2 linked regions of the Zea mays genome follow. The main gene of each other region encodes a partner of the protein of the gene in region 2 in a complex. Links are inferred from orthologs where the notes say so. Each region holds a gene or a part of one and is shown on either strand. Other genes may lie near its edges.

Region 1 (3,920 bases), on a different chromosome or scaffold from region 2:
CCCTCCGAACATTTTTTATGTGTTCTCTTAGGCTTCCAATTGCGGTGTGGAGAGGTGTTGAGCTAATTTCTAAGAAGCATGCTCTTGTCGTGTAGGATTTGGGTCTCTAGACCAAAGTGTGTCGGAGGACTTGGAGTCATCAACATGCGGCACCACAATTAGGCTCTCCTTATGAAGTTTCTTAACAAGTCCTTTAATAGACTTGATCAGTCCTCGGTGGATCTTGTCTTGAGTAATCACTACCGCCGGGGGAGGTTTCCCAATGTCCAAAAGAAATGTCCCTTCTGGTGGCGTGATGCGCTCTAAGCACTTCTAGTTTTTTGTTCCAATATCAAAGTTAAAGTGGCGGATGGTCGTTCGGTCCCCCTTTGGTTTGATAACTGGAGACATGATAGATTGGTTGACGCATTCGTGGAGCTTCTCTCATTTGCGGTGGTGGAGGAGGAGGCGATGGCGTCTATGACCACGACACTGGTGCAGGGTCAAAGGTCGCACCTTTGGCTGGTGGCTTTGGATTAGTGGTTTGAACGAGTGTAAATATGTAGAGGGCGAGGATGAGGAGTAAAGGGACACGACGCAGGACAACGCTCGCGCATGATCGAATGAGCAAGGGGGAGGGTGCACCCGATAGCGGTATAGATGTACAGAAAGCCTTTAGCATGAAAGCTCGACCCGAAGCATGTTTTTTGGCCCGATGCGAGCCCGGTTTGGCCTACTTTTATACGGGCCTGGGCCAGCCCGACATGAATAAGCGGGCCGGGCCCAGACAGGAAACTAAGCCCCACGGGCTAGCCCGACACGACTCGTTTACCTCTAAGTCCGTCAAGCCCTTTTTTTGCACTAAACCGTGCTTAGCAGCCCACTTAGCTTGTTTTCAGCCCGCTTTTTTCGTGCTTACCGACTCGGTCCGATCCGTTTAGGCCCGCAGTGGGCCAGACTCGGATAAGAAAACGAGCCAACATGTTTGGATGTTTTGGCCCGGTTTTCTAACCGTTTGGCTATATCTAGATAGTGGGGGCCGGGGGCGAGGGGAAGGGTGAGTTTGAAATGGGCAGGGTCTCAAGGAAGAGGAGCCACGGTTACACGTAGGCGTCAGCGCGAGTGGAAGGAGCAGTTGACGAAAGCTGTGCACAATTGAGTTGGAGGGACGTTTGACGCACAAAGAAATTCACAAAAGGAGTACAAAGGTAGTGTTTGGTTGAGGAGACAAGTAGAACAGAGCTGTTCGATCCCTGATTCTAGAACGGAGGCGCTCTGTTCTATGTTTGGTAAGCTGGAAAGGAACGACTCTATTTTTTGTTTGGTTGTAGAGTGAACTGGAACAGAGCGGCTCTATTTTTTGTTTGGTTGCAGAGGGAGGCGCGTGAGCTGCTGCGCACGGATGGGAGGGCGAGCTGTGTGAGCGAGCTGGAAACGGAGCAGCTCCGTCCCATTGATTTTTTGGAGTAGGATGGTTCTGAATCTAAGGAGAATATTCTTTAATTGGAGCTACTCCGTTCTAGTTACTTTGTAATCAAATAACAACAAAACTAGAACATAACCGTTCCGTTCTACTTGCTTTTCAACCAAAGCAACAGTACCCACCCCATCCCTGGCCCCGCTCCCGCACCGCAGCGCATCCGCCCCCAAAATTTGAAATCACGACTGGGAGGGATCCCGAACGACGGTCCAAAATTTTCCCTACCCAACCCCCTCTATCCATCCTGTCCCGTTCCGCTCCGCCGCCGCCGTCGACCGCACGAGATGCCGCCGGCCGAGGACGCCCCACCGCAGACCCCCCCTCCCGCGCGCTGGACGGCGGCCGGGTCGCGGGTGCTGCTGCAGTCTCCGCCTCCAGCGTTCCCGCTCGGATCCAATGACGACCAGCAAGAACGCGCCCGCGCCCGCGCGGCGGCGCGTGCCGCCTCCGTCCGCCGCCGATCCCTCGCCGCCTCCATTGCGCCCTCCAAGGACCCGCGCCACGACCTCCTCAACCGCGAGCAGGTCATGGACCTCTTCCATAACTGTATCAAGCTCGCATCGGAGAACGTAGGTGCCTAGCCCGCCTCCTAAACCTAGCCCGCTCCATTCCTCTCGCTAAGCTTCTTCGTTGCGTTCTTTCTGGGGAAATTTCGGCAGAAAATTAACCAGAAGAACACGTGGGAGCTAGGCCTAATCGATCATCTCAGCGAGATCATCCAAGCGGGGGTGGACGAGGACGAGGAGACCAACTTTCAGAAGGTACCGACCTGCAAAGATCTCCCATTTCCTCCTCTCTTTGTAGCCTTCTTAGTACAAATTTGTCTAGAGGGAGATTCGTCTACTGTATTTGAATTTGTTGGCAATAATGTGGTACTTTTATGGAACAGGCAAGCTGCACACTGGAGGCGGGGGTCAAGATATATTCACTTCGTGTGGATTCAGTGCACTCCGAGGCTTACAAGGTGCTTGGTGGGATAAACCGTGCCGGAAGGGGTGAAGAGGCTGGTGAGGGTGCACTGGAATTTTAATGGATTCTGATGTGTACCACTTTGATTGCAGTTTTACTTCTTTATTAGGGAGCTGTATCCAGTGCAAATTACATGCTCTTATGCCGAGTATGGCTGAATTGCTCGAGTTACAAATTCAAAAAGAATGACCTATACATGATAGGTTCATGATTTTGCTGGAAATCTATGCTGCTTCATTATGGTCTTCTGGTTTGGTGCTTGACGAAAAAGATTTGGAGAAAGGAAAAAAACTGCACTTTTTTTTTTGCTTTTTGTCTTCATCCAGTGCAAATTGGTCTATGCTGGGTATCACTAAACTTGAGTTAAAAACTCTAAAGTAAGGGGGTGTTTGTTTGGGATTATAATCTCAAACACCCCTAAGTTGGCATGCAGTGTGGTTTTATGAGTTAATGGAAAGGTCACTGTTCTAAGGGCCTGTTTGGAAGCACCCAGTTTTTAGAAACTGGTTTATGAAACCGGAGTACTTCCAAACAATACTAGTTCATGTCCTAGTTTCTAGTTTATAGAAACTGGATTCCTAGTTTCTTAAAAACCAAGAAGCCTGCATCCCCTAGCTAAAACCAAATTTTGTCTGTTTAATAACATTATTCCCTTGTTTATTTCATGGAATTTACATCTATTGCCACCACTTTTTAAAATAGAGGAAGGTTAGGCTAGTCAATGCATATGCAAAAAACTAGAAACTGGTTTCTTAGAAACCGGGTTCCAAACACCCTCACCCAATTTTTATTTAAAAACGAGTTTATAGCAAATGGTTTCTTAAAAACCGACATGCTTCCAAACAGGCACTAACTTGATTGGAAGATTAAATATGTTTTAAAACCTTTTCATTGTTACCCATGTTAGAACTGTCCTGTTTTTTGGTATTCCTTGGGTGAAATTGATCAACTTACATTGATATGTTACACAGCTTTACACAACCTGTGCACTCACAGATTATGAACCTTCTGCAAAACACTGTTTATGAAATTGGGAACATTTGCTGTTTTCTTACTGTTTTTGTGCTTAAAATTTGAGAAGCACTGTTTTGCACTTTGGGATGGCACTGTGGCAGTTTTGGGTCAGTGCTCTGCATGATTTTGGGTCCAGTGGATTCGGGTTTAGGGACCCAAATTTTATTGGGTTTGGTTTCCACCCGCGGATGTATAATGGAGGTCCAAAATAGTACATTTTAAGTAAAAACTCATTTGTTTTGTTAATAATTTGTTTATGTAAGCTATTAAGTTTATTCTAAGTTGAGTCATGAAATTATTTGTTCTTTATTGCCTTTTGCTTATATATGTGAATATGTAATATGTATCATGCATGAGTTACTAGAAATTCCTTAATGTCTTTTGTATATTGCTATATAGTGGTGGTTTTTGGTTTTTTTGGATCCACTGGGTTTGGTTTTGGGTTTGGATTATCACCTGAAACGGTGTTTGGGGTGGT
Region 2 (3,820 bases):
TCACATATACACATGGATAAGACAAACAATTAAAGTGTAATTTGTAGGTTCTTGAGATTTGGTTCCATCACTTGCATCTCCACTTATCTCTCATAGCTTCTTTGTTTGAGCCTGCATGAATTTATTGTGCAGTTTCAATTATGTTTTCTACTTTTACAATTGCATAACTTCTGAAGTGGGCACTATACAGGGTGAGGTTGAGCAAATCTCCCTAATGAAACCAAAGGCTCAAGGTCCACATGATGAAGGTTTTCTAGAGTATCTTGAAGACATAATAGGGACAAACCAGTATGTTGAAAAAATTGAAGAAGCGTACAAGCAGTGAGTTTCTGACATAATTTTTAATGCATGCTGTTATAACTAGTGCTTTGTATATATTTAGCAACGATTTAGTTTCTTACCTTGTTATGGATCTGTTAGACTCGAATTGCTCAATGAAAAGAGAACAGCATCAGTGCAGATGCTAAAATTAGCTGAGAAAGAAAGAGACAGTTTAGAGGTGATCATCTAATTGTTTATGATTTCACTATTTGACCATTTAACAGTTAAGCACTATTAATGGAGTTATTTTTCTGTAGAGTGCAAAAAATGAGGCTGAAACATACATGCTGAAGGAACTTTTGCTTCTGAAATGGCAAGAAAAGGCAACGAAGCTGGCTTCTGATGATGCTATCTCACGTGTTAATCAGTGTCAGGAGAATGTGGCAGACCTGGAAAAGAATCTTGCCGCTGAAAGGTTATTTGTTACAGATGGACAGTGTCCCCCCTCCCATTTACATGTTTTCTGAGTAAGCATATTCACTATTATACAGGGAGAAGATACACCAGAATTCACAAACTCTGAAGGAAATGGAGGCTATTTACAGTAAACATGTCAAAAGGCAAGAGGTATTGTTTCAACTTACCATATCTGTAACCTAATCAATCATTGAATTGAAGTCATTTATTTCCTATATTTGAAGGTTAGAAAACTCGTTATTTTCTATCACAAGGTTATTGCGAATGGGCCTTTTACAGTCAACTAATAGCGCCCTACTTTTATTTGCTTCTTTTATGTCTTTAGGACCTTGAAAATAACATGAAGAGCTGCAAAGACCAGTTTAAAGAGTTTGAGAGGAAAGACGTAAAATACAGGGAAGATCTAAAGCATCTTAAGCAGAACATCAAGAAGCTGGATGACAAAGCTGAAAAGGTAATACTGAAACGGTTTCAATTGTAACATTGAAATTAAAGTTGAAGCAAGACTGGCTATTGTTTCACCTACAATCTAACACAGGATACATCAAAACGTGATGAAAAAACAAAAGAGATGGAGGAGTCATCCAATCTCATTCCACAGCTGGAGGCAGAAATACCCAAATTGCAAAAGCGACTTAATGAAGAAGAGAAAGTCTTAGAGCAGATCAAAGCATCCTCTCGAGGTGATGTTAGCTTTTACTATCCATGTTCACCGAATCATTCTCTGATAACTGAACTTTATTCTTCTGTAATTACAGAAGAAACTGAGAGGTTTCGTGCTGAACTTACTCAAGTAAGAACTGAGCTTGAACCATGGGAAAATCAAATTATTGAACATAAAGGAAGGTTGGATGTTGCATCTGCGGAGAAAAAGTTAATGAAACAAAAGGTAGACTTTTTGGGAAACAAGAAGACTGCTGTCAAGTACTTCAATTCACTTTGAGTCCTTTAGATGGAGATATATGATGCACTGATCACAAGCAAAATATCTTCAATTCTTTATGTGCGATAGCTTACCATGCCTGACACTGACACTGCAAGCTTTGTATAATTAAATCTACTTATCCATTTAGTTTATTTGATAAACATTAATTTGATTTTTTTCAAACTTGTCAATTACGTTTGAAACTAGTTCCCTGATTTCAGCATGATGGAGCACAAGCAGAGTTAACTGATGCACAAAATCAGATGGAAAGTATAAAGGAGAAAGTTAAAACAAAGGATTCATACATTGTGGGGCTTCAAGAAAAAATAGAGAAGCATTTGAATGAAGCATCTGAAGCTCGCAAAATCGAACAGGTAAATTACTTCCAGCTTAATTTGAACAAAACCCATGCACTGGGTTCCCTTAAGTTTAGTCATTACTTACGTGCAGTATGCTGAGTCTCCTGAATGTATTGCTTGCAAAATTTGTTGCAGGAATGCCAAAAGCAGGAGGATTCACTGATCCCTCTGGAACAAGCAGCAAGGCAGAAAGTTGCAGAGATGAAAACCACTAGGGATTCTGAGAAGAACCAAAGTACTGCTCTGAAGGCAATTTTGCAAGCCAAGGAATCAAATGAAATACAAGGGATTTATGGCAGGCTTGGTGATCTTGGTGCAATTGATGGTAAGATATACTCCCTTTGCCCACAAAATCAAATATGTCCTGTGATATGTGTTGCCTAACTGTTATGTCTTCGGCAGCACATATTAAAGCCATGTTTGAATGCACTAGAGCTAATAGTTAGTTGCTAAAATTAGTTGAAGACATCCAAAGTTCCAAACAGTCTAGCTAATCGTTTAACTATTAACTATTTTTTAGCAAATTAGCTAATATTTAGCTAGATATTTATTAGCTAGCTAATTTCACTAGCTATTTTTTAGTCAACTAACTATTAGCTCTAGTTCATTCAAACACCCCTATGTTTAATAGGTGGATCTAACGGTTATAAACTGTTATGAATAATTTTTCTATATATAGTAATTTCGGTAACACTGAACTTCTCAAACAAGGAGAATATGGTACGAACTTAGCAAACTCGGCCAGGCTGATAGCCAAACCTGGTCAGGTTAGGAACCATAGTGGCAAAGCAGGCCAGGCCGTTCATCAAAGGCTAGGTCGTCAAGGTTGACTAGGCGGCCCCCAGAAGCTGACTAAGCCGACTTCGTGTTGCCAGTGCGGCTACAATGTCTGGCCCCCGAAACCTGGACTGGCCGACTTTCAAACTTACCTGACGGCCATTACAGCAGTAAGCCAGTAACCACACCAATAATCTAACAGACACAACACAAAGTCTAACAAGGACAAATACCTGCACTTTGTTTTGACCATGCCAAAACGGATTAGTATTTATGTAGTTTAATTCTTCCATTTTAGTATGTTCCGTTAGGGAGATTTTGTTTGTAAAGCCATGGCCACCAATATCTAAGCAATTGTTGTATCTGCTAGAATCCGCGAATGTCATTATGCAATCATACAGAGTTGATTGAAAGCTTGTATGAAGCATTTGTGGATCTTAATTTTTTAGAAACTCTGGTCTGCAGCAAAATATGACGTGGCCATATCAACATCAGCTTCATCTGGGCTTAATTATATTGTGGTTGAAACAATAAATTCGGCGCAAGCTTGTATTGAGTTGTTACGTAGAAGGAACCGTGAGGAAACTGTAACTTGTTTAATCCTGGTAACACTTTTTTTTTCTGTGCTTATTTGTTTTCATTTTTTTACCTGTTAATTTCATTTTGTAATTGGAACCTTATGTTACAGGAAAAACAAACACACCTCCTTCACAAAATTAAGGAGAAAGTAAAAACACCTGAAGGAGTTCCACGCCTTTTTGATCTAGTAAAGGTTAAAGATGAGAAGCTGAAGTTAGCCTTCTTCCATGTCTTGGGGAATACTGTTGTTGCAAATGATCTTGATCAGGTTGATCCTTGATTTGTTTGGTCTTAAACTTTTTCCTACTAACGTAGTTGCTTGTAGTTGTAATTTGTGCTGTGATTAATGGTATCTCAGCACCTGTCTTTGTCAGGCTTCACGAATTGCATACACTGCAGCAAAGGAGTTCCGTCGGGTAGTTACCCTCGGCGGTGAATTATT

What was found.
Region 1: structural maintenance of chromosomes protein 4 (region 2) and condensin complex subunit 2 share a complex: the UniProt entries of both Arabidopsis thaliana proteins name them as parts of the condensin complex. The link is inferred for Zea mays from reciprocal best matches to the Arabidopsis thaliana genes SMC3 and EMB2795.

Annotation. Positions count from the first base shown.
Region 1 is NC_050098.1:234,338,802-234,342,721, forward strand, and holds the start of condensin complex subunit 2, read left to right. Parts: upstream 1-1,658; 5' UTR 1,659-1,743; coding exon 1,744-2,028; intron 2,029-2,118; coding exon 2,119-2,220; intron 2,221-2,348; coding exon 2,349-2,466; intron 2,467-3,920. UniProt on the Arabidopsis thaliana protein: Regulatory subunit of the condensin complex, a complex required for conversion of interphase chromatin into mitotic-like condense chromosomes.
Region 2 is NC_050101.1:167,828,602-167,832,421, forward strand, and holds part of structural maintenance of chromosomes protein 4, read left to right. Parts: intron 1-190; coding exon 191-321; intron 322-420; coding exon 421-499; intron 500-578; coding exon 579-736; intron 737-812; coding exon 813-888; intron 889-1,063; coding exon 1,064-1,192; intron 1,193-1,276; coding exon 1,277-1,421; intron 1,422-1,496; coding exon 1,497-1,627; intron 1,628-1,884; coding exon 1,885-2,037; intron 2,038-2,157; coding exon 2,158-2,347; intron 2,348-3,264; coding exon 3,265-3,404; intron 3,405-3,487; coding exon 3,488-3,646; intron 3,647-3,752; coding exon 3,753-3,820. UniProt on the Arabidopsis thaliana protein: Central component of the condensin complex, a complex required for conversion of interphase chromatin into mitotic-like condense chromosomes.